Struthio camelus: one gene and its partners. The protein of the gene in region 1 purifies or fractionates together with the protein of each later gene. This does not show direct contact. Links are inferred from orthologs where the notes say so. Each region holds a gene or a part of one and is shown on either strand. Other genes may lie near its edges.

Region 1 (8,362 bases):
CATAATCATCCTAGCAAAAGACGCATGAGGTCTGACACATTCGGTCAGCTTTTGTAATTCTCAGCTCACTCCCACAAGCTAAGTTTTCTGTTCTGAGTTAGCCTAAGAACGACAGGAATTGAGAACAGTGTTAGTACCTCACCTCTGTCTGCCTGTATTTGCAATTCAGTCCTTCTCAACTAGTTTAAGTAAAAGTAGTATCTAATGCCTTTAAAAAAAAAAAAAAAAAACATTGTTGGATTTGAAATTCAATGTCAGTGATCAATCTCTATCTTCTCTGGCGTAGCTTAGCTACAAAAATATTATTTAGGAACAGAAACACTTTCCTCGAGTCACATTCTGAGTTTTTGCTCAATAGTACTCGTAAATAAAATGGTACTTAACAAATGAATGTTTCAGAAGCTGTCCATTAATTTGAACAGACTCTCTAGGCTCTGGCAAGTGGCCCTATCAGATCAGTCACACACAATTTCTATCACCATAAGAGATGGTGATATGGAGATTTTTCTGTGAGCAAGATCACACTGCAGCTCTCCAAAATCAACACTATATTCCACCAAAGCCCTTCAAAAGCAGGTGCAACTTTTTCTATTTGTAATAACCCTTGCAACTTGGCAGGAGAAGAAGTACTTCTCATTACCACAGATTTCATATCAGATAGGGCTGAAAATTTGTCTTGTATCAGGCACCTACTCAAAAGAAGACTGATCCATTAGAGCACTTCAAATTCCTGTGTTCATGCAATTACCAAAAGCAGCTTAAGTGTTATTTTTCTCTTAAATGGGTTAGCATCAAGCAGTATTTCCATAACAGAAGCCTTTGAGTAAAATAGCACTAGTTTCTCCTCATCTATGTTTTATGGTTGTAAGAAACATACTTAACTATTTTGTTCTTTTTATTGCCATAGCAGCCAGTGTAACAGGTGCCTCATTATACTAGGAGAACAGTGTCTCCAAAAAGGAGTTAAAGCACTTTTCCTATGCTATTCTTTATATTCCCATTATTGAATTACATTTTTTAAGGCCTCTTTACATTACGACCAGAACAATACACTTGCATATTAAATTAACTAGCACTTAAAAAGCCACAAATGGGACAGAAGGATATGTTTTGTCCATTTGGATTCATTTCCACACTCTCAAAACAATAGCTTGTATCTGTGAACGCAACTGCACTAAGCTACCCTGATGGAGCAGCTCTATGCCAGAAGAGTATACCCTGGTCATTTGTTTTAAATACCACGCTGCTCTCACACTGAGATTTCAGTTACGGTCTGCACTCTCAAAATAGGCCGTTATCATTCAATTAGTAATTAGAAAAACTTCCATTCTTGAAATAACAATCTGTATCTAGTGCTTTGACCCTTGTAATTTATATAAGGCTACCAAGAAAAAAAAAGTCTGTGATGTATATTGAAGACACATTTTGAAGATACCAGGTATCTTCAAAACGGTGCATCGCAGATATGTTTCATGCAATTAATTTTTATATATATATATATATTTCTTAAATAGGGGGCTACTGCTTAAAACAGCAACCCAAGCAGAACTCCTTCCCAGCAAGCAGGCGCGAGGCTCTTCCCAAGAGGCCAAAACAGCAAGGCGGCCGTGACCCTCGAGGGCTGACACGAGCACGGTCACGCTCATCACACAGCCTCCTGCCAACCCGGCGGCCTTCACGCCGGGCGCGCGGCCGGGCAGCGCCCCAGCCACGGCCCAAGCCGCAGGAGCCCTTCCCCGGCGCAGCCGCGCCAACCGGCCGACGGCCAGGCGCGTGGCTCCGCCGCACAGGCCCAGGCTGCGGCCTCCCTCCGCCTTTCACCGGGCGGTTGTCCTCCGCTGGTACGTGGCGGGGGCCCTTTTCTAGGCCCTAACTCTGGGTGACGTTTTAGGTAGCGAGGATGGCCAAATCAAAAAAAAAAAAAACAGTCAGCGCTTTTTGATAGGAACGCTCCCTCGCCACCCGTTTCATTCAGTCGCAAAAAATCGAAGGCGACAGCTGTAAAGTGTGGCCAAGTGGGGATGAAAACGCAAAAAAATCCCACAGGAATTGTTTTTCCACTGGACTCGGAACTTCTGGTGCCGCTCAAAGTTTCCAGCACTTTCTGGCTAGTCACTGCATTCTTTACAGAAACGCTAATACTGGTCAAATCGCTGTATTCCCGGGAACCAAGAGAGTTTGACTTGAAAGAGCCACTGAGGAGGGCCCTTACCCCCTCACACCCGCTCTCCCCTCAGCTGCCTCTCTTCCCATGGACATATTTGGACTAAGATACAGCTTTTCCCTGAGCATGCTTAAAAACAAAACAAAACCAGACAGCAAAATTACTGAGATACTTTGTGACCAGAAAAGAAACCTTGACAAGTTATAAACTCTGGATTGGGTTTCTAGGTTTTTTTTTTTTTTTTTTTAAACGCATTCACTGTTTGGACTACCCGGAGCAGGGGGAAAAAAAAAAAAAAAAAAAGGCATCAAAGTTTTGCGTCTTCCCAGGCAGGCTGGGTGGACTTAACCAACTTTAAATAAACATTACAGGGGCCGAGGTATCAAATGATTTAATGCACAAAAAAGGGACTGCAGTGCGTCAGAGACAAAAGGCAGCTCCTGGCCTCACTGCATTGCCATGCACTGAGGAGAGCGCCGGCCGCCCTGCCCCCCCCCCGGGCGGGGGCCGCCGGCCGCGCCCTGCCCCCCGCCCCGGCGCCAACGGCCGCGCGGCGCCAACGGCCGCGGCCCCTCCCCGCCCGCTCTGTCACGGCTTTGCCCTTCGCGGCCGCGCCGCCCCGCCGGCTCTCCCCCCTCTTCCCCCCCCCCCCCCCCGCCCGCTCCGAGCTGCTCCGCCGAAGTTGCGGCGGGGCGCGGAAGGGAGCGGAGCAGCGCGGCGCGGAGCGGGGCACCCACCTCCCCACCCGCCGTACCTCGGCCCGCAGGCGCGGGTCGCTCCAGGTGGTGGTGCGGCTGTTGTGATCCACGAAGAAGGGCCAGCCGGTCTGCGGGTCGATCTTGATCTCCCAGCCGGGGGGCAGCGGCTCGGCGCTGCCGCCCTCCATCTGCACCAGCGGGGAGTGAGTGGCGGCACTCATGCCGGGCCAGACAGGAGCTGCAGTGTCAGGCGGGGAAACCGGCCAGGCGCCTTTATCAAGCGGGGCGGGAGGGAGGGAGGAGACAAGGGGCTGGAAGTGTCTGGAAATAGCCGCTCTGTGCAAAGGGGGAAGGCGGAGGAGGGGAGGGGAAGGAGGAGGGGCGGAGGAGGAGGAGGGGCGGAGGAGGAAGAGCGAGAGGCGCGGGGTAAGCTGGCCGGCTGGAAACTTCTGGTTGCGTCTAGCACAGCTTGGCCGCCTCCGGGCCGCCGGGCAGGGGCTGCCCCTTGAGTCACCCCGCCCGGCCCCGGGGCAGCGGCTGCAAGTTTCCTTCACCCCCTGCGCTGCGAGCGCCCGGCCCGGCGGGAGGGCCCCGCACCCCCGGCAGAGCCGGCGGCGTGGCGCGGGTGACTGGCGATTTCTGAGCAGGGCTGCTTTGCTTGCTGTCGCACTGGAGCGAGTCTTGTCTTAACAGACCGGGGGGGGGGGGCGGCTGCTGCCCCCAGAGATCTGCAGTCTGGACCCACCCCCGGGGGCTTCCTCAGGAAGAGGCAGGGCGGATAAGTGCGTGGAGCGAGTCCTCTCTTTTACCTTTCTGCAGGAGTGCACATGTATTTTACAGGCCCACTTAACAGGAGCAATGCTTGAGGCAGACTCTGGAAAAGTAAACCTAAAAGATACGCATGCTGCTTTACTGCTCTGTCCAGTTCCTGCTACGAGAGTGTAAGTCTGATACAGGAGAAGGGGATTTTTAGGCCAGCAGTGTCCCCAGAGAACACACAGCCCTGCAGCGTACTCTGAACTTCCTATGGTTGGGACGTAACAGCCCATTAATTCCTACCTCCTGGTATAGTGACCAAAGCCCAGAGAGCATCTTGCTTGCCCTGTGACTGATAACTTAAGGTTGTAATTGACTAAACCCGACAAATAGCAAATAAAAATAATCTTTATTTCCAAGTATGAGGATGGACAGACATGCTCTTCAGATTCAGCTGTTTTGATCTTCTTTAGCTTTTTGTAATTTAATGTGTCTCAGCCCTCAGTTTCACTAATACCAAGGAATATGTCAAAGCGCAAAACTTGAAAATCATGCCTTCCTCTATGGCTGCTGTATCAGTTTTTCATGCACTCCCCCTAAGTGTTCAGTTTGAGTTAACTGTACTTCATAGTTGTTCCACTTGTAGTCATCCGGCAGTCATGCCACAGATGCCTGTTGATAGTTACTTTAAGTAGAACAGTGAATGCAGAGTGTCCCTTAAGTGCAGACATTACCTGCTGCAAAGTTACTTGCTTCAAGGAATTCAAGGCATGCATTCCTTGGAGATAGTCATTACTGAAGTACTTAAGAAAAGCCTGTGTGTTCCCGCTCCTGGGGACAGTCAGGATCTCCTCTTGCTTGAGGAAGTAAAGCCCAAAGATCTCTTGATACTGCTTGACGGTGATACTCCTTTAACCATTGGCAGAATGAGTTTACTTCATTATGCTGGTATACCTAATAACCCCTCAAACTTGCTTCTTCCTTCCTGTAACACTTCCATTCTGTACATTGCTTGCCTTCAGAACTACACAGTAGTCCATCAAAGACTGCTCTTTCTATCCTCATTGTTATTGTGCACCTTTGACTTGCAGGTATTGTAAACTGACCTTTTTTTTTTCAGTCTGTACCTTGAAATGCTCGTATTATCAGCATCATCGCTTCTGACTTACCCATTTGTTAGAGCAACAGTCACATATCTCGCATATCTTAAAATCAGTCCTGGACTGTGATACACATCCCTGGACATATCTCCTAACCCTGCTACCTCTCATGCTCTTATCAAAGCCATCTCTGTCCAGCTTCATTAATATCAGCAGTTGCCTCAAAAGACTTGATATCTGAGATTTGTTCTACTTCCAATCTGTAAAAATCTGTAGAGAAATTTCACTCTTTGGTCTCATCTTCAGAACAGTAAGAAGCATGCTTAAACCATAAGTTCTCTGTGGCATATACCACAGTCCTTGCCAAGTCAACGAAAGCCACTGACTTAGGGGAACAGCATACAGAAATGTTAAAAGGTCTTGCCGGGGAAACTACTTAGGTAAATTGAGGTAATACACATAGTTTTTGTGCCTGATGGAGTGTAAATAGAGAAATGAAGAATGGGGTTTCTTTGTTTTGCTGCAGCTGATAGCTAGTTGTATGCTTAGCAGAGTTAATGAATGAGGTCAGCAAGTACGTGAAGAATGAATAAAAGGAAAGTTCAAAGGGCTAGCTAACAATTGTAAGTTAGACGTGTTTGTGCATTTGTGCCATGCTAAGGAATGGAGGAGAGTACGTTTCACAGAAATTAGCAGGAGCTAATAGGTCGGGGTGCTTTTGATTGTCTACAGGAGAGAGACTCGCGGAGACAAGGCTCCAGCTGCAGAGAAGGGAGTGTGGACTAAGAAGTAAAATCATTTTTGTGACTGATTTTAGTTGGCTAGATCTCATGGTTTTTCTGTCAATTAAAATCTCTTCCTGAGAGAGAGATTTCAGCCTGGTACCTCTTACAGCTGAAAGAATTCCCAGCTAGGTAGGTTATAGGGGATAGCAACTCAGTGATTCACTTTTTTATTCTCTAATACAATGTTGTGCTGGGCCATAACTGCAACTCCGAGGCAACATGGCTTCTAGTTTGTATTACTGTTAGTCTTATTCATGACCAGACTGATTTAGGGAAATGTTCATGTAAGGAATACTGCTCAGCAAAAATTTCAGGTCCACGAAAATTTGTTAAAAGATGAAGAAGTTTCTGTACTCTCCACGTATTTTAAGATGAGACTCCAGGTTCGAGATCTATATATTCCATTTCAGAAGGGAAAATAATGAAGAAGCTTTTGTTATTTTTTGGAGAGACTTCTGTCTTCTTCATATTGGTGCAAACATAGTGCTCCTGACTTCTTTAGGTTGATATCTGCATAGGGTTTTGCAGACCCAGAAGAGCATTTGTTCCAGGGTGTTCCAAAACAACCAGAAACCATGTAATCACAGTTAACCAAAGATAATAAGCTGTACAGGGTCTTCATGTGTTTCTTTGTCTTGAAAATGGACAGATTCTTCACCAGTCAATTAGAAAATCATTAGGCTCATATGAGCACTTGGATTTCCAAGGAATAATCCAGGACCCTAACTCAAGAAAGCCATTTCTTCCTCAAGCCAGCAACTACATCATCTCTCCGTTTTGATCTTCAAGACTGTGGAGAGAATTTGCCTCAGCTTCCACATTATACCATGGCCTGTGGTAAATTCATTTTATATGCACAACTACGTTCCAGAAACCTCAGGACAGCATAGATAGGCCACCTGGGGAAGTTCTTCACTGCGTGCTGTCATACCTTCTGTCACGGATGGATCATGAATTGTCTGCCAAGGTGCTCTGTTTCATCTACTGTTCACACAAGGACTTGGGTGACAGTTCTGTCCAAGATGGCCTGGCATGTTTGTGCAGGCTATCCATGGTGCTGCTGCTTCTCTCCTAAATGGGCTTGAATAATTCAGGTTGTTCAAAGCAGCACCATTATAAGCAAGTAAATCTCTGTGGTATGTCAGGAAGCAATGTGTCTTGGGATAAGCTCTAAATTGGCTGGTCAACCTTCTGAGTACCCATGATAATTTAGCAGATTACCTGAACAGAAAAAGTTGGATTAATCAGGACTATGAGTCGAAAATGTTTGTTCTGGATCAGGTATTCTAGAAAGCTTTTACTGATGGATCTGTGGGTAAGTAATGTGTATGACAAGTGTCTAGAGCTGTATTCCTAAGTGGGAATACAAGTTCTTTGCTGGATGCATTTAAGATTGAGTTCATAAAAAGGCTCTGTTAATAAGTGCAGCGGGCACGTGGAGTCTCTTAATGTTCAGGTTAGATAAACATGGCAAATCCACTACCATGACTTCCACAGCCTGATGCTTCATCCACATCCAGAGTATCAATACTGAATAGCACAGAACTCCACTGATTGCATTTTGAAGAAATACCCTGCTCCAGCTGTACAAACCATTTCAATTAAAAGCAAAAAGGTCTTAACTAAAAATTCTCTGCTAACTACAACCGGAGCAGAGGAGATTTTGACTTCTTGATTTGTTCAGAATTGTGGACTTCTTGGCATCAACAAAACAAAAAAAATCACTGAAATGATTTGGCCCCCTATTTCAGAAAATTAAAGATGCCGCGATTTGCAATCTTCTACTACTCTACCTCTTATACTACAGATAACTTTACTGACCTTTTTGTCCTTGTTTTTGTAGCTCATAATTTAGTCTAACAGCTGATGAAATAGATCACTATCCACAGAGGGTCTGATCTCACACTGACTGCTGTATTACTGCAGCCATTGTACGGCCCGTACAGTTTGATCGTGTCATCTGCTCATTGGAGTTACAGTAATCAAATGCAAATAATTAGGTATATAAATATAGCTCCTATTAACTTCAATAGAAAATGCAAAACATTAGTAAGAACATAGAGGGGTAAATGTACTTGCTAAATGGAGAAAAGCTTTTTAAACTTACGTGTTTCAATCACAGGTCATTTGCACCAAGTCTTGGCATCCGCAAAGCATATACTCAGATTTCCAAATTTCAGATTTTTGAACCTGAATAAGACTCCAGAAGCTAATTCCATTTAAAAAGTATTCTTTATTCTTTTCATTTTTTATTTTCTACAAGGGATGTAACCCTGCCTTAAAACGAGAAAGCAAATCTGACTGTGAACAAAGTGAAACCCACTTCAATTTCTGTGATCTGTATGCACGGAAGAGCAAAGTTAAACACAGAACATAAGCAGCAGAAGGCATCTTGGATTTTTAGAGCTCAGTTTTTTAGTACGATATAAATGGCCTATGGAAGCTAAAGTAATATTTACAAAATATACATGTTTGGTTAACCATTCCCTGTGCATCCTTAGTCATTTAGACAGAACTCTCAAGTAGACAGCTCCAGCTCTGGTTTAAGAGGTATCTGGGTCTACGCAGCGATCAGGATAACTCTGCCTTCATTAAAAATCAGGAGAAGATTTAGAGTCTATCACCGTCTCTTTTACTGCCACAATGGTAATTATCCATTAGTATTTACAGGCCTCCCCCTAGCGGATAAATTGCCATTCTGTACTCAAGGTTATAATGACCCAAATGGCTAGAAACCTGTTTTAGTTTTTCAAGGTTTACTAGCATGTATCAGTCAAAAAAAAGAAAGAAAGAAAAGAACCATTGCCAGAACTGAGTATGACCAATAGCAGGCACAACTGAGAAGGCAACTTGAAAACC
Region 2 (7,650 bases), on another chromosome or scaffold:
GATGTAGGGCAGAAATAGGCCCATAACAGAATCTGATGCTGAGAATATGCTAAATGACTAAAAGCCATCCTGCCTCTCAGACCCGCAGTGACTACACAGGGGTGCACATTTGAAAATCCAGCATTACCTGTAGAGAGGTTTCAAAGATGAGAAAGTTACTAAAAAAACTGTGTCACGGAATCATACAAATTTATATTTGAGGAATTTACCTTCAAAGCAGTAAAATTAAGAGTTAGACATCTAAGAAGTATATTCTGCTTCTTTAACCCTCCCGTTATGTTGATTTTCCTTTCTACTGAGATGATTTCTTCTCACAAACACATAAAAGATCTCTCCTCATTGCAAGCACTTCAAGATCCATGCGCCTGAACCCCTGCAGCTTTTCCCTCCCACCCATTAGCACAGGAAATTGAAAGAAAGGAAATAAATGCAGATGATAAAAAGAGAACAGGTACAAGATAAAGGGAGAGAGAGAAAAGAAAGAACGGGATGAACAACAAAGCAAGCAACTTGCGCATGAAGCAAAGATTTGTCTCCTACTCTGTCCCTCTCCCACCAAAGCAAAATTTGCTTTTCACTGATACTAAAAGGCTCAGTTCTCGGACTACCGCTGCGTAGATTTTCCAAAGCTCTTTTCTCCTCCAGCCAACATCCTGCACCATTGAGATAGTTTACGAATAATCAGCCACTTTGGTTTTGTATCCACACTCTTTGCATTAAAAAAAGGAAAGAAAAAAGAAAAGAGAACTACTTAGGGGAGGAGCCCTCTCTTTCTCCAGGTTTTCACACAGTGGATGTTTCGCACAGATTTCATCATCAACTCATAAAATATGTACTTCCAACATCATGAATAACAAGGAGGTCAGATGCCAGGCACAGTCATTCCATAAAAGCAAAAACAAACTTCTGAAGTGAAGACCTTCAGGAGCTAAGACCTTTACGATAAATTTGAGAGTTGTATCCAGACCTTCCCTTGTCAAGACCTATAAGAGTCATCCAGTTATCAAGAGTATAAAAAAAAAAATCTAAAAATCTATTTACAAGTCTAGCAAAGTTGCCTTGGAGTGTGTCTCCAGGCTGAACTTTAGGGCTCCAACACCATGAGTGAGTTACTGTACTGCTTTTCATGCGCACTTACCCTACAGTAAGCATGGAGGAGTTTATTACACATTGTACAAATTAGAATATTGCACATTTAACACAGGACAAGAACACGTACCTGGACAGTTACCATGAAATAATCCTTACCCAGGATGCTTGTTTCACAAGATGAAAAAAACAGTTTATGATTGTTTCTTCCTCGCCTTTTCATTCCCGCCTCCTAGGAACAGTTTACTTACCCCCTCGATGGGCTAATACAACTTTGCGTACTCATGGCACAAATTGAAATGGCCCAGATTAGAAATAACCCCAAAGAAGAGGGAGGAGCAAATCATGCCACAGGGATGGAAGCAAGCAGTCAGGAAGTCCTCTGTGCAGCCTCAACACTGACAAACACCACGCGTTTCAATAAACTCTTGAGTTTTAAAATCGCATCACAGGTACCATTCATCCCTTCTTTCCCTCTCCCCCCAGAAGGAGGAGAAACTTAAAGATGTAAGCATCTTTGCGTACCTGGCAGCACAAGCAAAGCACATCATTCCTATTTACAAAAGCCTGCTGATTTCCAGTCCCAGTTCACTGTAGCACTACCCAAGAAGCCTAGGCGAATCTGTTTGCTTGTAAACAGAAGCCCAAAGTTTGCATAGTATCTCCAAGCAACCTCCTCCACCCACAGCTAAGATTAAGGCAACTTGAATTTCCCACTGCAGTTCCCAAACGCAAGGGAACAGGGTAATGTTGTTCACCGCCCCTCCCGCAAATGCAATTTCTCATGGTTACTATTCCAGCAACACGGTAATGATCATAAACTCATTAAACGCAAGGCATTAAGTCTCTGTTTGTTCCAGTGACAAGACAAGGCATTTGTTTACAGGCAATGACTTGCATAGTTAAAGAGCAATGCAATATCTGTGGAAAACACACAGTGCAGGTCTTTCATCTCGTTACTACCACATTGAGTCAGATAAGCAGACGGAAGTCGGTAGAGAGCAGCTATGATCACGCTATGATCAAGAAAAAACATTCCCAGGATATATTAGCTTTTATTTTGGCCCTTATCTTTCATTTTTGTTATCTTTAACAACAGTTCCCATTGTCTTCGCTCCTCACTTCCATCTGAGGTGAAACCTGTGTATGACAGCCCTTTTCACTCTTACCAATGTCAGCGTATTTCTCTCCCCTCATCGGTTCTGGTAGCAAGTATCTGATCTGGAGTCAGGACAAGGTGATATGGGAGTCTGTTAACAGACTGTGGGAGACGGAGTAATTGAGCATTCATAAGAGTTTGATTCCCACTTAACTGTTTGGTCTGTCAACTTAAGAACCAAACAGCAAGGAAGCTTTCCATTTTGACTGCAGGTGAGCACTGTGAACGTATCACCCTCCAAAAGACTGCTCACAGGATACGCTCTGGATACCGCTATCTTTCAGACAAAAGTTAAACTTTCACGAGTGGCTAGAAGAGATGGAAAACGAAGCTTGCGTGACTGGTGTTAAGTACAAACCTGGGGCGTTTTTTTTAGAAACGCACCAGAAGCACGTGCCCAGCGCTGGGCAAAGGCTAGAAAGGCTCGCCTGCACGCAGGCTCTACCGCTGCAAGCTATAATGACGCTTCTAAAAGCCACACACAGCGTTCCCTGCCGCAGGAACAGTTAGGCGAGCACCTGGACACCGCTTTTCCCTTAAGTACAGGGGAGAGCTCGTTTCCCCGTGGGGTGTTACTCAGGCAACGAGGTTCACAGGCTGCACAAGCACTGGGGGTGGGGGGAAGGCCTCTAATTCGGCAAGCGCTTCTCCCGGAGAGGCGCAGGAACCCGCTGCGACGTTGTGACACACCGAGGCTCAGGTCTGGCGCTGGCGAAGTCACAGCGGAGCCCGGGCCACAGGCCGGGGCTCGGCCGCGTCGTCCCCTCAAGCGGGACTCACCGGGCTCCAGCAGATGAGCGAGTCGGTGTCGGGATCCTCCACCAGGGTCCACAGCTTGGTGAGGAAAGCGGGCACGTTGCTGCCGCCGGGGCCGGCGCCCACCGCCGCCGCGCCGGGCCCCTCCATGGCGGCCGCGGCTGCAGGCCCCGGGGCAGGCCGCGGCGCGTCCCCCCCCCCCGGGGAGCCGCCGGAGGGCGGGCGCGGGGGGGGGAAGGGAGGGAGGAAGGGAAGGCCGAGACGGGCGGGCGGGCGGCGCGGGGTTTAGTGCCGCCGGCGACCGCCGCGGCGGGGCCCGGCCGCTGCCTGCGCACTGCAACCCCCGGGGCCCAGCATGGCCGCCGCCATCTTGGGACGCCTCCGAGACAAGCCCCCCGCGCGGGACGGCCGCGCGCATGCGCGGGACCGCCCCGCCCCCTCCCCCTCCGCGGCCGCCGCCGCCGCCGCCGCCCGTGGACGGGGGGCCACGCCCCCTCCGCGCCGCCGCCACCGCCCGGCGCGGGGCGGGGCACCGCGCATGCGCCGCCGGGCCGGCGCCTCGGGTCCGCCCCTCCGCGCGCATGCGCGGTGCCCCCGGCGGGGCGGGGAGGGGCGGGTGGGCTAGGGCGCATGCGCCTCAGGCCGAGTTCCCCTCTCACCTTTGACCTCCCTCCCCGATTCTTTTTTTTTTTTAATTTTATTTTTTATTTTTCCGTCCGAACGGCTGTCTTCGCCCCTCCTCCCGCCGGGGCCGGCGCGGTGCGTGCCGGCGGCGAGGCGGAAGCGGAAGAAGAATGAGAAAATAACCGGTCCGGGATGGAGGGGAGGGGTGGGGGGGGCGGTGCGCCGTGACCTCTGACCCGCGCGCACGTGGCCGGCGGCGGCGCACGCGGGGCGGCGGGAAGGAGCCATGGAGCAGGTCGGGGGGCGCGCGCGCCGCGGGGGAGGGAGGTGGGGGGGCGTCTCCATGGTTACGGGGCGGCGGCGGGGCGGGAGTCACCATGGTTACGGGGCGGCGGCGGGGAGGCGTCACCATGGTTACGGGGCGGCCGCGCCGGGGCAGGGGGGAGGCGGCGGCTGTCGGGGGCCGCCCGGGCCCTGTCAGGGGCCCCGCGGGCGCCGCCGGTGTCGCCCCCGGGTCCCCCCCCCCCACCCTCGCGGCCCCGGTGTGATGCGACCTCGGCTCTTGCCTTGCAGCGGCCTCTTGCCGGTGCGGCGGTGCCGGAGGAGCCGGGCACGGAAAGCGACGACCTGACGGACAGCGAGGAGAGCGTCTACTCCGGCCTGGAGGACTCGGGCAGCGACAGCAGCACCGAGGAGGAGGAGGAGGAGGAGGAGGAAGAGCCGAAGGACGGTTCGCCCTCGCAGGCACACGTAAGGCCCGCACCGCCCGGTGCCCCTTTGCGGAGGCCTCTGCGCGGGGGGCCCCCCGCGCCCCTGCTCGGTGAGCCGGGCAGGAAGAGCAGAGCGCGGGCCGCCCGCCTGAGGCGGCGACGAAGCTCCTGCCAAGGGGAGCCTTCCTCTCAGGAGCGCGCTCGGGAAGGTCACGGGCCGTTTTTCTGTGCGGTGACACCAGTGCAGCTAGGTTGGCGCCGGCAGCCTGGCTGAGCTGCGCGCTGAGTAGAGCAGCCCTAAAAGTTTGGGGTGGGCTGGGGGGGGGGGCAACGTTCATTCGCATGCCTGGTGTCCCCTCTTGGACACAGCGTCAGTGAAGAAGAAACCTTATGTGTACAGGCTTAGGTGAGGCTTACGTTTCCTGACCCTAGGCTTGCATTTGGTGATGAGAAGCAGCCTGGAGAGCTGTGGTGCTGCTTGTTTGTTAGTTGGAAAAGGGATTTTACGCCTCTCTGCGCTTCTAGAATCTGTGCTAGCAGTGATACTTCTGCTGTCGATGCCATTTAAAAAAAAAATCCTGTAAAGACACAGCCTTACTTCTATTTCAGAAAGCACAGGCAGAAAGAGCGGTGGAAGAATTAACACTCTAGTTCCTCTTGCGATATTAATGAACGTTAATGTTACTTAGGCTACTCCAGCCTCCTTTGCCCTGGGTCATGCTCCAACTTGTGAACAAAAAGTGCCTTATTGTTTTCCTGGCTGTGTTTCTCGAGCTGTGTTTTTATTGATTTGGGCAACATGTAGAAGCTTTACCAAGGTCTGGAGTAGCAACTGAGTAGAAACTTACTCTAATAACCTGTTTAGGAATTTTATAATGGTGCCTTAGGCTGCAGTTTTGGTATTCAGCAGCAGTGCTGCTTGAGTCGTCTCCATCTACAGCTGCTTGTCCCCACCGACACCGCTGTCTTTGTTATGCTTGAACAGCTGTTTATGAATCCACTTAGTGGGCTAGGTCAGGCAGCTGATCCAGCCCAGAAATAGCACAGTGGAAATGGGGCTTGTTGTTGTTGCTTTGTTTTGCTTTTCAGAACAATTGGTCCCCTGAACTGCACAGGCTTTTTTGTTGGTAGCGGTGGTTGTTTTCCTTGGCATTGGCTCTCTGATCTGTTTTGCCACGTGTCCATGTAATCAACTGTACAAGCACAGCAGAGTGTTGCGCAGGGACAGGAATGTGTAGGACAATTCCCCAAGCCAGGACTTTTGCCAATGCATTGTATGTCCGCCTGTGTCCGTCTTATTGTATGAGAGCTGAGGCTGGTTCTTAGGCATCATCCCTTCCACCGCTCTCAGTTCTTCCACCTGTTACTCCATATCCAACTCTTTGTAATACTACCGGCCCATAGGCAAATATCTGCAGGCAGTGGGATCCGTCACTGTCTTGTTGCAACCCAGGTCAAGCTAAACGCGGTGATGAGTGCTCTACACTGAAATAGCATGTGCTTTCTATAGCTGGCACAGCCTATAAAAGAGTTAGAGCAGTAGCAGCAGAGTCTGACGAGGTCGGAGGAAGTTTGAACGTAGATTCCCCTTACTGTGAACAAGGCCATCGGCGAGATGTGCTTTGGCCTTGCTTCTGCTTTGGGCAGGGATGGCCTGGTGGTTTGCCTTCTGCCTTTAGGATCTCCGCTATAACAAAGTCAATGGCATCTTAGCATGTGGGCCTGGAATGGTGTCGTTCCTGCCACACAGGAGCCGTGCGTGTCGCTGGGCGGCTTGTGAAGAGAGCTATCTAACGTGGTCGGCAGCCCTTCTGAGCAGGGAGTGTTAGAGACGGAGCAGTGGCCTTAATTGGATCCCCTCTTCAGAGGGGTATCTGAAGGGTTTTCACATGGGGAAAAAACATCAGACATATCAGTCTTGGCCAGGAATGTATTTACCCTTTGTGCCTGTTTGAAAAAAAAAAAACGCTCCTTATGAGGGTTTCACTTTTCCCATACAGGGTTAAACAGAGGTTTGCTCTTTTCAGACCGTTTTCTTCTCTGGGGTCTTGCAACGAAGTTAATCTACTATCTGTGCCATTGTCCTTTTTGGTTCGCAGCCACTCCTGAACACTTTCTAAAGGAGCTGTGGACCCTGTCTAGTGAACCCCAGCCTCCTGAGGGGAGGTTTTCTTCTGTTCCTTCTTTACAGGCCCTTTGCATAATGCCATAAATATATGGGTTAAAGACTGCTACATTATAGTGTTGGAAACTTCTGCAGTTCAGACAGCTTTCCAGAGTGACTTGAGAATTTCAGGAGCTATGCACAATTAAGATTTTTATGTTGCATTCAAAGTGCTTGGATAGTTAGGGAGAGCAGAGCTAAATTACTAAGTAGGAATTTCCCCAGGAGCCTGCTTCCTTAAAAGCATTTTGAGCCTTTCCTTGGTCACTGTTCTGCCTGCTTTTGCTCTCAGCTTTGGACTGCGCTCACTGTTTCATGGGTGGAAACTTTGAGAAGAAGAGTGTAGAGTAGACATGCAGAGTCTAAGAAGGGAACGCTCTTAGGTCGACTCTGACTCAGCTGGGTCTTTCTTCAGAGCACTAAGTTGTCGTCCCTTGCTGGGGAGAATCGCTGAGCTGCCAGCAGAGATGGTAGACGCGCAGTGCTCTTGCCCGAGTGCTATTTTACTGTCATGTTTAATGGACTTATGGCTTTAGGCCAGGAACGAAGAGAGCTAGCTTCTGTTTAGAAAATATTTCACTTGTTCGTGCAGGAGAACTGTTTATTTACCTTGGTTAGATATGTTTAATTTTGAATGAGATTTCTCAAATGCTGGTCTCTTCCAGTATAGAAGAAGTTGTCTGTAGTGTCAGCTGAGTGTTGTAAGTGCATTAGTTTGGTGGCTCACTCGCCTGGTCAGTGATCAGCGTTCAGAACGATCTATTCGGAGCTGAACTCAGCACGAAGATCTGGTGTTGCTGGCCCAGGTGGACTTTGTGAGACCTTCTCATTCGATGGTTGGGGGCTGTTTGTGTGCAGGATTCTCTCTTGGTGCCAGGGTTTTCCTGGCAGGCTGAAAGGCTGTCTCACGTGGGGCCCGAGAAAGGAGGAGGGCGTATGGTCACCCATGTGCAAGGTGCAGCCCTGGAAGCCCCTGTCCATGTTGCACCCAGGCTGAACACATCCCACCACTGAGCTGCACCCATTCTCCCTTTTGCTCCTGCAGGACCGTGTGCCCGTTGCTGTCCGTCCATCCCTGTCCACTCTCCTCAACAGCCTTGTAACAGGGCTGGGCAGGAGGGGATGGGGATAGGCCCCCACTTCCCTAG
Region 3 (7,286 bases), on another chromosome or scaffold:
AACTTTTTATTATAACTAAATCTATTTTAAGACCAGCCAGCTTGTCATAACCTCAACCTTAACAGTAAAGACAGACCGCAGTATAGATTAATAACCTGATTTAAGTAAAAAAAAAAAAAAAAAAAAAATTAAGAACTAAAGAGCCCAACCTCAAATGCTACTAATTTCAATTGTGTACCTAGAGGAAACATTTCAGTTTTCAGGTGAACATTGTAGCAGATCTATTTCCAATTCAATCATTTCTTAATTTTCAACCTTAGAAAAAGTCTACTGTGCAGAAATACTGCAAAACTAACTTAAGCTACTAAAGTAAGAGATCAAGAAAGAACTGAAAAACTTGAATCCTAGTTTTCTTCTTCTATCTAGGGAAAAATGACCTGGCAAGCCATCTGTGAAACATACACAGCCCAAAAACATCATTGGGCCCTCTTGATATTCCTGTTTTCAACCTGAAGGACTGGGTCCCCATTCATATCAATGGAATTTTAGTATTCATTCAGAACAAATGAAAAACAGAAACCAAACCTAGAAATGCCAACCTAAGGAGTGAAGTTTATACGCATGAATTATTTCTTACCTAGTTGTAAAGCAAAGAAACAGAATTAAACTTTCATTAAGTCTAAATTCAAGAGAAATCTAACATCCATTCAAATCTCATGCAAAAGTAAAGAAAACAATAATTTAAACCCCAGATCAAATATAGGAGTTTTGATTTAAATTTATCTTGAAATACACAATCATCATACATAAGATCCACTAAGCTTTAACAGAGCTAGATAAGTTTTCACTAATCCTTCCATTCCTTGAATAAATCAAGTTACTTTATAGATTTAAAAAAAAAAAAATCATTTTCCGTTAGCAGAAAATGAGTTCAGGATACTGCTGATTAGGTTCTTCATAAATGCTACTGAAGAAATGCATCATTTACTACGTAAGGAGAAAAATACTGGAATACTAAACACTGCACAACTCTACGTTCAAAATCAAGGCTGGACTTCACATTTTCTAAAATCAAGGCTGGACTTCACATTTTCTAAAATCAAGGCTGGACTTCACATTTTCTAAAATCAAGGCTGGACTTCACATTTTCTAAAATCAAGGCTGGACTTCACATTTTCTAAAATCAAGGCTGGACTTCACATTTTCTAAAATCAAGGCTGGACTTCACATTTTCTAAAATCAAGGCTGGACTTCACATTTTCTAAAATCAAGGCTGGACTTCACATTTTCTAAAATCAAGGCTGGACTTCACATTTTCTAAAATCAAGGCTGGACTTCACATTTTCTAAAATCAAGGCTGGACTTCACATTTTCTAAAATCAAGGCTGGACTTCACATTTTCTAAAATCAAGGCTGGACTTCACATTTTCTAAAATCAAGGCTGGACTTCACATTTTCTAAAATCAAGGCTGGACTTCACATTTTCTAAAATCAAGGCTGGACTTCACATTTTCTAAAATCAAGGCTGGACTTCACATTTTCTAAAATCAAGGCTGGACTTCACATTTTCTAAAATCAAGGCTGGACTTCACATTTTCTAAAATCAAGGCTGGACTTCACATTTTCTAAAATCAAGGCTGGACTTCACATTTTCTATCAAAATCATCACTACATACAGTAAAAACAGACTGTTTGCTGAAACCTGAAAGTCCAATACATTGACTCAGTCAAGATGCACTACTTCTCTACAGCCTGCAGCACAAGAGCAGAATGGCTAACACAAGTGGTGTGGCATTTCAGTCAGTTGTAGGACTCCAGAAAGAAAAGCAAAAGAAACAAACTACACAAAAAAGTAAACATAGGAACAAAATTTATGAAAGCATTTACTCACTGGTCCAAACAAATCTTCTCTGACAACATAATCCAGCAAACTAAATTGTACTTTAACCACTGGGCTCTTGATTCATCAACTGAACATATAATCCTTCCTGACTGGAAAACAAGGAGCTCCCCAAAGTGTAAACAAAACTTAAGTCCAGCAAGCAGCAGTAACTGCAATCTCAGAGGACCAAGAGTTTGAACCCAGTTTCATTCCAGCTAGTCACACTATGTCAACACCTTGTTCTTATCACTCTTTGATGCTTTACATCATATTAAAAAAAAAAAAAGCACTTGACAACTGATTGACTATGCAATGTTGCAAGTTTGACCATTTGCACATTAGCATCGCTGCAAATTCAGCTTCTATAATGTTATCCTGGCCAAAATGAAATCAACCAAGCATTATCTCATTATCAGAATTCATGATAGATTTGCTCAATGTTTTCAGTCTCTTCTAACGCTCAAGTCTGTGGCGCATTTCATCAACCAGCACAAGCTCTGACTGTTAAACTGTAATACAGCATAAAGTGTTACTACAAGCAGGAATACTGGTCATAAATAACTTCACTTCCCAACCCACGGCCCTCTCCTAAGTCCTGAAAATACAAAGCCATTTATAACTTGGACACCTCTGGCCACCACTCAAATGATGTGCTGCCCTCAAACACAGCACATCATACTGAGCCTACTCTGTAAGTTAATAACAGCAAAATAGAATACAGCTTCCATCGCAAAAAAAAAAAAAAAAAGCAAAAGCACATTCAGTTTATAAACACACCAAAAAGTAAACTACGAATAAAAGAAGTTCAAGTAAAAGACGATCCAACACACTCAAAAGAGTCATGGGTGAACAGAGACTCCCCCTCACCTTTTTGCTACTGGCAACCGATGCAAACAAAAACAGAAATGCGGATTTTTTTCCCCCTAGCCCTTCTGCGCTTGCCGTAAACAGGAGAAGGAGGCCGAGCCGCCTCGGGATCCTCCGCTGCGCAGTCCCGAACTGCCGCTCCGCCACCGCGACTCCCGGGATAAGCCCAAGGAGGCCGCTGCCCGCGGGGGCGGCTCCCCCGCTCCCCGCCCCCGAGGGCCGGGGATCCCCGCCGCCCCGCTCCGCTGCCCACGCAGCCCTCGCTCCCGCCTCCCAGGAGCCGCCGCAGGGGCTCCCCAGCGCGGCGCCCCCGCGCCAGCCCGCAGCATGGCGGCCGCCCAGCCGGGCCGAGCCGAGCCGGGCCGAGCCGGGCCGGGCCCCACACCGCTGCCCAGAGCCGAGGCCGAGGCCGGCCCGCCCTGCCCGCCGCCACGGCCTTCCGCGGCCCGCCCAGCACTCACCGGCCCCGGAGCCTCAGCAGCGCGGCCGTCACCCTCCCCGCCCGCCCGGCGCAACGGCAGCGGCGGCGGCAGCGGCACCTCTCCTCGGACTCAAACGGGAAGTCTCGTCAACGCGACGCCGTCACTTCCGCCCGGCTGTTTCCGGAAGTTTCTGGAAAGGCGTGCTCTCGCCGCGGCCGGCCCGCCCGCCGGGCGCCGCGCGGGCCGACCCCGCCCCCTGCTGGCTGCCCGCCGCCCTGCAGCGCGCGCGCGCGCGCCGCCGGGGGGGGGGGGTGGGGAGGGGCTGCGTTCGAACCTCCCCCCTCCCACCAACGGCTGTAACGGCCGCCCGCGCCCGGGGGTGCCGGCCCCTCACCGGAGCCCCGGGGGCAGAAGAGCCTCTGCAACGGCCCTCCCTGCCCCAGGGCACGGAAAAGTGAAAAGGCTGATTAAAATCCCTACATGCCCATCTCTTTTTTAGCCTCAAAAATTGTAACCCTTCCCCTGAGCTTATTTTAAGGCTACATTAATTGTTTTCCAGCTGGCACCTGTACAGGTTCCTTTGTGGCTCACACTGTGCTGTCTGAAATTTAAGTATCCCTTGGGTCATGTTTTGAGTATGTGGTTTTCTGACGGCTGTGAGAAAAGCGTGAGCAGGGAGAGCATAGCATAAGCTGCCAAGTAATAATTCTATTTTAAAAAAATGGAGTTTATCCATGCTTTAAATTGCTGCAAAACTGTATTTCTTGCCCTTTATTTAAAAGAAGTTGCATAAAGGCATTGTTTTATGGATCAGTGAACTGAAATTAGAGAGTTTCCAAATGTAAAACCTATCTGCTCCCAAAATGAAGTTAATTCAAAGGCTACTCAGGAATTTGGAGATGAAAATGCTTATGTCGGAGTAAGATGTACCAACGCAAGAAGGAACAAGCAAGCTTGGAATAAGCCAGAGGAAAACCTAATAAAAATCAGAAAGGTAACTGGTAGGATAGCCCTGGCTTCGAAAGAAATTTAGCTGCAGTGAGATTTGATGCCAAACTGGGGTCATGAAAACAAGTCCTTAATTTACATCAAAGACATACCTAGCACCAGTGTAAGTTTCCCGTCAGCAATTAGCTGTGAAGTGCAGAAAGTTTTTGACCCACTTGGAAAGAAAAACAAAAAACGAAGAACAGTAGGTTAGACTGGCTCTTTCTAACAGGTGCAGTTGCAAACCTCAGAAGATTCAAGGTCTAGCAAGCTCAAGGGCAAACTGCAGATGAGTACTCTCTAGTTCAGGAGAAGATTATATAAAATCTTGCTCTAATTCTTTAAACATTTCTTGATGTAGAAATAAGTTTTTCCTCAACCTGTGGTAGACAAATGAGAACAAAGTATCATGTCTTTAATCTCTTAAAAATCTCACAGGCAGTAAATACACAAAAAGTAGCAAATGAAACAGTTATTTTCACAGAATCACAGAATCGTTTAGGTTGGAAGGGACCTCTGGAGATCATCTAGTCCAACCTCCCTGCTCAAGGAGGGGCCTCTAGAGCATATTGCCCAGGATCACATCCAGACGGGTTTTGAATATCTCCAGCGAAGGAGACGCCACTACCTCTCTGGGCAACCTCTTCCAATGCTCTGTCACCCTCACACGAAAGAAGTTTTTCCTCAGGTTCAGATGGAACTTCCTGTGGTTCAGTTTCTGCCCGTTGCCTCTTGTCCTGTTGCTGGGCACCACGGAGAAGAGGCTGGCCTCGTCCTCTCGACACTCCCCCTTCAGATACTTGTACGCGTTGATGAGATCGCCTCTCAGTCTCCTCCAGACTGAACAGGCCCAGCTCTTGCAGCCTTTCTTCATAGGAGAGGTGCTCCAGTCCCCTCATCATCTTGGTAGCCCTCCGCTGGACTCTCTCCAGGAGTGCCATGTCTCTCTTGTTCTGGGGAGCCCAGAACTGGACACAGGACTCCAGCTGAGACCTCCCCAGGGCTGAGGAGAGGGGCAGGATCACCTCCCTCCACCTGCTGGCAACACTCTGCCTAATGCACCCCAGGAGACCATTGGCCTTCTTGGCCACAAGGACACACTGCTGGCTCATGCTTCACTTGTTGTCCACCAGCACTCCCAGGTCCCTCTCTGCAGAGCTGCTTTCCAGCAGGCCAACCCCCAGCCTGTACTGCTGCATGGGGTTACTCCTGCCTAGGTGCAGGACCTTGCACTTGCCTTTGTTGAACTTCCTGAGGTTCCTCTCCGCCCAGCTCTCCAGCCTGTCCAGGTCCCTCTGAATGGCAGCACAGTCTTCTGGTGTGAATTTTGCTTTTTTAGAGAGTAGATTTTGTATTAAAGTGGTAGCCCAATGGATCCAGACCGTAAAATCTTCCATTTATTCACGCAAGCAGAACAAGACTAGCAAAGAAATGTAATTCTGGATGGAACTATAGGACTGAATCACAACACCCTCTACCTGAATGCAATCAGTATCGTTTCTGCTTAAATACAATTGTAGTAAGTATGATAGCATTGCATGAACTTGCCCACAGAATTTCTAACACCGTTGCCCTAATGCTAGACTGCCTAGCTCTCCAATAGCACTGTTCAGAAAGAGGCAAAATAATGGGGAAGGCTTTGAGACCTATTTTGCCACTGGAGAAAAGAAGGTGAAATGCCTTGCTCACAGCTGAGGGGAGGGCTAGCGCAAAACACATAAAATACGTGTTTCCAAAAAAGTTGTAGGAAGAAACAAAAGGTAACATAATTATATTTTAATATGTTTAATCGTTTGGCACTTGTCTTAGAAGTGAGATACGAGTAAATTTCCTGAGACTTTGCACAAGGGGGAACCACCAATAAAAATACTGATATTAGGGAACATTTTTTAACTTATTATCTGTGAGATCTGAGCTTATCTAACACTGAAAGAGAACAAGAAGGGGTTTTTTTTAGCTTTACATTATGCATTTCACATATAATTTTCCATTTTCTAGGTTATAGGGAAAGGAAGGAGATTGCAAGAACTTCAGCAAATGACAAAGCCAGCCAGATGGGGAAGTGTGCGTTGTACTGCAGAGCGCACTGCAGAGACTTGGGTGACTGCGCAAAGCATCCCCAGAACTTATATCATAAAACAACATGACCCCAGCTTGTCCCTGTCACACCTGAGCTGGTTTCTGCAGAGCCTCTTTATGTCATTGTCCCCCGTGCTCCAGTTCTGGGAGGTTTTATTATCTTGGCGCAAGGATTCATAAACACAGGTTTAGGTCAGCTCTGGCAGTGTACCTAGGCAGCAGCCCAACGCAGCGACATCAAACTGATTCTGCCAAGAAGCAGCTCAAAGTCTGTCAGGCTCGCACTGAGACTGAGAGCTGATGGGACCTCAGTGGACTTGGTGAAGTTAGGAGACAAAGGGACAGAGATAGCAGCTAAGGGCTTCATTAAGATATTTTAAGCTTTTAGGAGCAGGCAGGAATAACTCCAGAGACTTCAGGCTGACATTGCCTCTAACACAACATCCATTAGATTGCTCAGCTCCTACCAAACCAAGAAGTCTCTGCTTCTGACGTGTGGTCTCAAGCTCCCCCTATCGGTTAATGACCAGTCATTCCGTTTGACCCTACAATTTTTTTCATGGACAGAAGTAGATTAGACGTTCACGGTAATTTTGCAAGCGCAAGACTAACAGGACCAACTTACAAAAAGTGCAGAGAGTCAGCTTTTTATCCTTTTTGATATTTCTACTTCCTGTTGAACTTAACAGAGAAACATACCTCTGACATAAATCCAAGAGTGGGTCAAGAACATATACATACAAGGTCTTGTTTTCCTAGCTTCTGTTTTCTGATCAGAAGAATGTTGCTTGCTGGTAAGCAGGAAAGGAAATGCTGCTTTCATGCTGTTCTGCCCACTACACTTGTTGTCTTAGCCTGGTATGGCAGGTCATCCATCTCTTACCCCTTCAGATCTTCAGCTGATACCTCAACCTGCGAGATTTTCAAGGCTAATGAAATCTAACCTATTACATGTTAGGCAAAGTCTCTGCTTCTCCTAGATCACCTGAAGCTCAAAACAAGTATGGTGGCTATGACTACTTTGCTTTAAAGACGTGCAGCATGCTGGCTGGCCTGTCTGCCTCCTAACCTCACTAGGCTGCAGGAGCCCTGAGAGCGCACGGAGCTGT

What was found.
Region 2: the proteins of BAG3 (region 1) and HSF1 purify together in Homo sapiens (affinity purification with mass spectrometry; 3 studies listed by BioGRID and IntAct, with this or other methods). This does not show direct contact. The link is inferred for Struthio camelus from reciprocal best matches to the Homo sapiens genes BAG3 and HSF1.
Region 3: the proteins of BAG3 (region 1) and DNAJB6 purify together in Homo sapiens (co-immunoprecipitation; 3 studies listed by BioGRID and IntAct, with this or other methods). This does not show direct contact. The link is inferred for Struthio camelus from reciprocal best matches to the Homo sapiens genes BAG3 and DNAJB6.

The regions. Positions count from the first base shown.
Region 1 is NC_090948.1:7,078,323-7,086,684, forward strand, and holds the start of BAG3 (BAG family molecular chaperone regulator 3), read right to left. Parts: upstream 3,199-8,362; 5' UTR 3,084-3,198; coding exon 2,919-3,083; intron 1-2,918. UniProt on the Homo sapiens protein: Co-chaperone and adapter protein that connects different classes of molecular chaperones including heat shock proteins 70 (HSP70s), e.g. HSPA1A/HSP70 or HSPA8/HSC70, and small heat shock proteins (sHSPs), e.g. HSPB8.
Region 2 is NC_090943.1:172,755,416-172,763,065, forward strand, and holds the start of HSF1 (heat shock factor protein 1), read right to left. Parts: upstream 3,188-7,650; 5' UTR 3,155-3,187; coding exon 3,029-3,154; exon of another isoform or gene 2,631-3,028; intron 1-2,630. Other genes in the region: ribosome biogenesis protein BOP1, read left to right, coding at 3,635-3,763, 4,202-4,378. UniProt on the Homo sapiens protein: Functions as a stress-inducible and DNA-binding transcription factor that plays a central role in the transcriptional activation of the heat shock response (HSR), leading to the expression of a large class of molecular chaperones, heat shock proteins (HSPs), that protect cells from cellular insult damage.
Region 3 is NC_090943.1:10,884,450-10,891,735, reverse strand, and holds the start of DNAJB6 (dnaJ homolog subfamily B member 6), read right to left. Parts: upstream 3,294-7,286; 5' UTR 3,151-3,293; intron 1-3,150. UniProt on the Homo sapiens protein: Has a stimulatory effect on the ATPase activity of HSP70 in a dose-dependent and time-dependent manner and hence acts as a co-chaperone of HSP70. Plays an indispensable role in the organization of KRT8/KRT18 filaments.